2 linked regions of the Arabidopsis thaliana genome follow. The protein of the gene in region 2 interacts with the protein of the main gene of each other region in a pairwise test. Each region holds a gene or a part of one and is shown on either strand. Other genes may lie near its edges.

Region 1 (4,039 bases), on a different chromosome or scaffold from region 2:
GAGGAGACAGAGTCAGACAATGAAGTCATCACCAAATCTATAAACACATGCATTAATGCTTTTACGTGTCCGTATCACACTCGTGTTTCCCACTAAATGCTCACTCATTTATTGAACCATCGTCTAATTAATGCTTTTGATAACTTAAATGCATGGAGGAGTGTCCTTCGCCCAATATTTCAAAAAAAGGAGAGAGCTCACTCAATTCTCTTGACGCACGAGTTTTGGACCTAATAATCGCTGACCTCATCAGCAACAAAGAAAAACAGCTACACTACAAAGACTTTTCTTTCACCAATCCAACATCAAATAATGATTGCTTCTTGTTTCTCTTTTATTAGATATCCAAGAATTCGTAAATAAAAAAGAACAAACCAATCATCCATAAACCTTTAGTTTAAAGTTCACTTTGCGAGTTTTTTACTTTAATTCATTATAGTTTCGTTTAATCAGTCAAATTAAAGGTCTTCAGTTATCTGATCAAATATGGAAGAAGAGGCTTATCCATAAGTGGAAGAAGGTGACGAAATATTAGATAGACAAACACCAAATCGAGACGCTTATTGTCTGGATGAAAAAATTGTAAGTTAGATGATTGTGTAATATTCTAAGCAATTCTACAACAAACACACAAGAAAGACAAGTTTCCTTCTTGCGCAAACCATGGAAGAAGTAACATTGACAGATACAAACATATCTCATCGAAACACAAATAAAACGAAATTGTCTATTTCTTGGCATACGTGATGAGCATCTGGTTTTGCTGAATCTTGAAACCTTGAAGTCCCTGCATTGCGACCGTCGACTGCATCTCATCAGCAAACTCCACAAAGGCGATTCCCGGTTTGGCTTCAATCATTCTAACTTCCTTAAATCCTTGGTACTGGCAGAACAACATCTGAAGCACCATTGGAGTTGTCTCGTGAGGAAGGTTTTGGACAAAGAGAATATTATTTGGCGGAGCTGGTGCCTCGGGCATATTGGGTTTCATACCACCAGGGTATGGTACTTGCGATAGCTGTGAAAAGCGTGGCAATAAGAACGATCATCAGAATACAGGAAAAGAATTAAGAGCGTCCCCCAAACGTATGAATCAAGATTAGAGTTAAGAAGATGTTGAAATAACTCACAGGAGGTGCAGCTCCATAGACACCTGGATATGCTGAGTTCATGGGCATGCCCATCTGTGTAGAATCATGGTGCTGGTCTTTCTTTTTCTTGCCGCCTCCTGCACTTCCAAAGACGATATTTAGATGCGAAAACAAACTGTTTGTAGGTTGTGGAGAAGCAATGTGAATGTGATGTGACTACTAATGATCAAATGCAGAATGTGGGAATGAGAAACAGAGCAATAAATCTCATGTACACATATGCAGTAATGGTCAAAGTGAGCCAATGAAGCAATGAAGTAAAAAAAAAGTGTCACCTTTCTCCTCATGTCTCTTTCTCTTCTCGCGAGGAACAAATGTACCATCGGCCTTGGCAACAACATCTGATTTTGTTTTGGCATATTGTATTCTCTGTCCACATTGTTAAAGTTAGGAATTAATAATATAGCAAAGTGATTGATAAGTATTTCCACAACCTAAAACATGGTCAATAACCTAAAAGCAACCACTAAACATATAAAGGGTCTTTCAAATAGAATCCATGTGGTTCACTAAGAAAAGCTCTCTAATCAGTAGATTCAAACCCTAATTAGGTGTTCCACTAACTCTAGGGGCAAATAGGCAAACCAAAACACATCGAGTAAGAAGAAGTTATCAAGAAAGTAACTGGAGTGGAAGGAATTGGTACCATCTCCTTGTCGTAGAAAGGAAAATTATTCATTTTAGCAATAGCAGTGGAAGCAGACTCGGTGTTGTCGAAGACTACCCAAGCTTGTCCTTTGTGCTTAAAGGTCTTAAACGCCAATATCTCCAGTATCTTCCCGAACTGAGAGAACACTGCATTCAGCGATTTCTTCAGCTCTGTAGAACAAAGTTACCAATAACAACAATGAAGAGATCAATCAACTCAAATCGGAGGAGAAGAAGAAGATATACGAGACGATAAAACAAAAAAAAAAAAAAAAAAAAAATTAAGTACCATCAAGCTTCACTTTTTCGTTGAGATTGTTGATGTAAATCGTCTGATTCGGAGAAACCTCCGATCCTCCTCCTTGATTAGCCTCTTGCATCTCCATCGTCTTCACCAAATCTCTCCGTCGAATTCGGAGAAGATTATTAGCCGGAACCACCCAAAATCGAATTAATAAAAAAAAGTGAGGTTTAACTCTGTTCCTCCTAAAGCCCTAATAAGCCCATCAGTTAGCCCAATATTCTTATTAGTGGGCCGATTAATATATTTAGCCCATCAAAAACCCTAAACTGATACATATTATTAGTAGTTTCACTTCTTATCTTCACTCCCAAGCAATCTTCGGTTCTGCTTCTTTCTAGATTTTGACTCTCACTTTGGGCTTCTTCTGTGTGTTTCATCATTTTAGGGTATCGATTTGATAGCCGGAGGTAAGAGCAAGAAGACGAAACGTACTGAGCCTAAATCCGACGATGTCTATCTCAAGCTCCTTGTCAAGGTTGAGGATTTGACTAAAAATCCGTCAGAGATTAAATTTTTTTTTTTTTTAGGCGAACCGATATCTGGTGAGGAGAACAGAAAGCAAGTTCAATGCCGTGATTTTGAAGCGTTTGTTCATGAGCAAAGTGAACAAAGCGCCACTGTCTCTCTCTCGTCTGGTCCGATACATGGACGGAAAGGTTTGAATTTTGTTGTTGTTTAGGTTGTTACTGCATTGAGTTCGATGTTATGTTACTTGGTGGCGACTCATGAACTAATGCTCTGTGTGTTTGATTTTATTAGGATGGAAAGATTGCTGTTATTGTTGGTACTGTGACTGATGATGTTAGAATCGAAGATGTTCCGGCTCTTACAGTTACTGCATTGAGGTTCACTGAGAGCGCTAGAGCTAGGATCCACAAGGCTGGTGGAGAGTGCCTCACTTTTGATCAGCTCGCTCTTCCGTGCCCCACTTGGTCAGAGAACACGGTATATCCCATTCTTGTTTCACTCTTAGTTCAGTTGTCGAAATGTGGAAACTTGTGCTAATCGTTTACTTGTTCGTGACGTATGTAGCTTAGTTCAGTTACTATGTCTCGTTTCATGATGATTGGAATTTGAGGTTACTGTCCTAACTTTCAAAATCTAGTGGCTTGTAAGCCTTTGTTTAAAAGGCTATCTCGATGAAAATTAGAGAATATCTATCTCGAGGACCACTTGTACTCAGTTTACAAGGGTTATATTTTCACTTTTTATTATTGCAGTAGCGATTGATGTAGCATTCCGTAATGATTGCAGGTTCTGCTTAGAGGTCCTAAGAACACACGTGAAGCAGTGAAGCACTTTGGACCAGCTCCTGGTGTGCCTCACAGCCACACCAAACCGTATGTACGTCAAACTGGTAAAAAAATTGAGATAGCAAGAGGAAGAAGAAGGAGCAGAGGTTTCAAGGTCTAAGCCTAGCTACGAAACTTCATGGTCAGTCTGTGTATGACTTGAGTTTATCTTTTAACTATTATGGATTATACTTTTACATTGCTATAATGATATATATATATGAAAACTAAGTAGGAGAAAATCTTTCTCTCTTTTAGTTCTGCTTTTGCTCCTTATAGTATTTGATTTGATTAGTTATCATAAATGGCAAATTGGATTTCTGATGAACTAGAGTAATACTTGAAATTTTTCTGAAGTAATCGGTTACCTTTCGACTTTCAAAACTTGTCTTTTCCTTTTTTATTTGCGCATTATCGGGTTTTGGATTAGATCAAATGTTTGATCCTTTTTCATTTGGGTAACTCTCTTTGTCAATACCTTTAATTGATCCAAAAGATCTTCTCACGCTATGATTAGATTGTGTAAGTGAAGAACGTACGTTGGGTTTCCTCATCTTTGTAATGTCTAAGATATTGGCGTCAGTCACTGTCTTTCTTTCTGATTGCTAATAAGTAAGCTGGTACGTGTTATTGTTCCAGTTTTT
Region 2 (3,796 bases):
GAAATCATAGTATTTTTTTCTGACGAAAAAAAAAAAAAAATCAGCTTATTATCCCTATTATTGTGGGTTTATTTATCCATTTAGTTTTTCACTTAGAAAAAATCTTAGCTGACTTGGTAAACACAAAAAAAAAAAACAGATTTTGAAAATAATCTTTTAATAGATTTTCTTTCTTACAAATTCCAAATGATATTGTTCATTGGAATTATACACCTATATTAATCTCGATGGAGAACTCGATTACAACAATTTTGTTGTTGGAGATCCCGTATATCTTTCCCAAAAATTATTTTTGAAAATTTAAACAGATTTCTCTAAATCCATATTATTCTCAATATTCCAAAAAACAAAAAAAAAACAACCCGTAGATCTCTCCCAAACAAACAAATTCTTGAAAATTCACATAAACTTTTAATTATCTAAATCCATATTATTCTCAACGTTTTTTCCCCCAAAAAAAACAAACAAAAAGAAACACTCCACATAAAAAGTTATTAAACTGATTCACCAATACATGCATATATACAAAACTTTCCCAAAAAAAAAAGAAGAAAAAAAAATGATCATCAACGTTAATCAGTAAGAAAAATATTTCAACCATATTAAATACTCTTCATAGATACATATAGCTATATATACATCATATAAAACAAATTATACATCCACATTTTTATATTAAGCTTAATGTTAAATTGTTACGATAATATATGTAGAGAGGATGCTAATGGATCATTTCCACTTCTTTCGTCCGAACATGCCTTTGCCTCGTTTCCCTCCGAACATGCCATGCTTGCTTCTTTTGCCTCCGAACATACCGTGCTTGCCACGCTTGTACTTCCCTCCACCAAACATACTATGCTTTCCTCGCTTGTACTTTCCTCCTCCGAAAAACCCTCTTTTGTATTTTCCGTGGCCGTGGTGCCCGTAGCCTCCGTGATGACCCGCATGGTGACCTCCCATTGCAGCCGCTGCCGCTGTTGCCGCTCCTGCTATCAATCCCCCAACTCCTCCTCCAAACCCTGTTATATTCACATGAGGAGAGCATTCAATCAAAGGTTACTTGGCATGTGAACCTATCAAACCAAATTGGGCTTATAAAACTAGACCAACATTATTTATAATCCATATTAAAACATTGTAGCATTATTTATAATCCATACTAAACTGAACCAAAGCCATGTTGACAAAAAAAAAACACTGAACAAAAGCCACATTCTTCTATGTTTCTAAATTAAACAAAACAAAAAAACATTTTTAACTGAACAAAAAGCCACATATATTATATCATAAAAAGAATTTAATCAATTATTCATCAAGACATTAATTATTTTACTATTGGTTTCTTTTTGGTTGATATAACCCGCAAGAAACTTTCTTTAAATTCTTGTTCGAATTTGAAAAACTTAGAAAATCAAAGCATAAATCATTTATTATCATTTTCGTTAAAACCAAGCTTTACTTTTTGGAATTGCACATCGCATAACGCAAGATTTGGTTAAAGAACCTATTTTGGCTTTTGAATGAACCAAGATTAACTATATGCATCCCTTTAAAGAAACATTTTGTCTTCTCATAATATTTTTGAGAACTATACTATATAAAACACCACTCAAAACAAACACCAATCGGACTAATTTGTTAATAGCAAGGGCGTTTAACTAAGACTAAGAGACATAACCACATAAGACAACATTTTTGATTAAATAATAACCTGGACGAGGACCGGATGGTCCGGGATACCCGGCGGGAGGATAAGCACCGGGTGGAGGTGGGTAAGCGGCCGGTGGATAGCCGTGAGGTGGTGGAGGATAACCTTGCGGAGGGTAACCTCCCGGTGGAGGATAAGCTCCCTGCGGTGGAGGAGGATAAGCTCCTGGCGGATACCCATGGCCGTGATGATTATGATGTGAGAAGAATCTTTTGTCTTGTTCGTGGTGGTCGTCTTTACCCATCTTTAATTAAAATCAAGAACTTGAGAGATAATAAGATGATATGAATAGAGAGAGATACAAGATATGGAAAAATGAACTATATACTATGTTATGTTTAGACACATACATGTGTGCGATATTTGGTTATGTGTAGCGAAAAAGGCTCTTAGCTATTGATTTAAACCGAAATGGACGCGTTGATGCTTGCTCGTTTTAACAACGCATTCTTATTCCTCTTCTGATCATGACACGTTTCTTCTCCATCAGAGGATAAAATAATTGTGACCATTCATATGCATTAAACAATAATAACGAAATCGTTGCTCACACGACACATTAGACTATTAGAGCAGAAAGCCATCAAAGATTAGAGAGAGGAGTAATTTCACAAAATCAAACAATATTAAGATAAAATGGTCAAACTACATAATATTCTCCGGTAGATGGATCAAAAGAGAGTTATTGTTTTGGTTTGTTAACATACCAAAGTTCAAACGGGTTTAGAGTTTCATATACAACCCGAAATGAACCACAAAAGCCAAACCATTTCTTCTTAGATAGATACAACTACGTTAGATAAACATCACCAAATCAGACGGATTTAGGGAAATGTGGTGAGAGGAGCTTCATGATCTCTGTGATTCCGACTTTGTCTTTGCCATCGAAAATCGTCTTCAACTTATCATCGCAGTGAATCTCCTTCTTGTTCGCCGGATTCTACAATGAGGCAAGAAATGAATCACTCAAACAGAAACTATGAATAATCCAGAAAACAGAGAAGTTTATGGTCTACATTAGCTGCTTGTTGTTTACATTGAACAACCAATTCAACATATAGACATCATCTGTGTGTATTACATTAAATAGACTAATTCCAAAACTCAAAGAACACTACAATTCCAAGTTCTCTAAGATAATGACCAACACAACAATCCAAGTAATCTTCACAACCAAACCCACAAGATGCTTCATGTATATAGTCAAAACCAAACAATCCATTCTCAACCACAAGATAACATGCATTTTACTCAAGATCCATGTTCTACATAACAATCAAATCATCCGCCACTAAAATGCTTAATCGATTTAGTTTACATGCAACAATTCCTTCTCTAAAGCAACCAAATCCCTAAGTTCATAAACAGATCTACGCAAAGTAAAAACCTTAGAAAGCTCCAAAATCAAACAAACCTGGAGATTGTGAAGCTTCACATACTCCCAAACTTTCTTCAGAGCGGAACCACGAGTGAGTTCCCTTTCTCCGGCGAAGCTAGCTAGCTGCTGTGACACCGGACGAGTCTTGAATATCCCTTTTCCTTCTCCGGCTACAGTAACGGCCTCAACAGTCGCCGCCTTCGACATCAGTGTCCTGAACCCTCCCAAAACCCTAGAAATTCCCGCCATTTTTTATTTCCGAAAAGAGAAACAAACAACGACTAGAGAAGAAGCTAAAACCCTAACAACAGTCAAATAGAGAAAAATTCGGCGAGAGAGACAAGAAAGACTCTTAAAAGAAGATCGCTAAACTCATTTTGGGCCTTTCATAAACTATGGGCCTATTTGGGCTTCATAAAAAACGAAATATTTAGGATGTTTTATCGAAATTAAAGGTAAATGTAAGAGCTAATGTGCAATTTAAGAAGATAGCTAAAATTCAGTTTGGGCCTATTTGGGCTTCAGAAAAAAGAGAAATAATTAGGATGTTTATCGAAAATAAAGGTAAAATGTAAGGGTTAATATGCAATTTAAAATGAACTTTTAGTCTTCGGTGACAAACGGCACCGTTTAATAGTTTGATGCCGGTCGCTATTCGTACATGGCGGATGCTCCGTCGCAACATCGCCGTAGAGAGTCTTCTTCGCCGC

What was found. The genes of interacting proteins can lie anywhere in the genome.
Region 1: the proteins of AT1G31750 (region 2) and U1A interact in a two-hybrid assay, tested with the Arabidopsis thaliana proteins (one large-scale study listed by BioGRID).

What each region holds. Positions count from the first base shown.
Region 1 is NC_003071.7:19,515,375-19,519,413, reverse strand, and holds U1A (spliceosomal protein U1A), read right to left. Parts: upstream 2,228-4,039; 5' UTR 2,186-2,227; coding exon 2,089-2,185; intron 1,971-2,088; coding exon 1,798-1,970; intron 1,521-1,797; coding exon 1,427-1,520; intron 1,229-1,426; coding exon 1,131-1,228; intron 1,019-1,130; coding exon 728-1,018; 3' UTR 501-727; downstream 1-500.
Region 2 is NC_003070.9:11,370,080-11,373,875, forward strand, and holds AT1G31750 (proline-rich family protein), read right to left. Parts: upstream 2,119-3,796; 5' UTR 1,953-2,118; coding exon 1,712-1,952; intron 1,020-1,711; coding exon 730-1,019; 3' UTR 506-729; downstream 1-505. Other genes in the region: AT1G31760 (SWIB/MDM2 domain superfamily protein), read right to left, coding at 2,523-2,648, 3,123-3,335.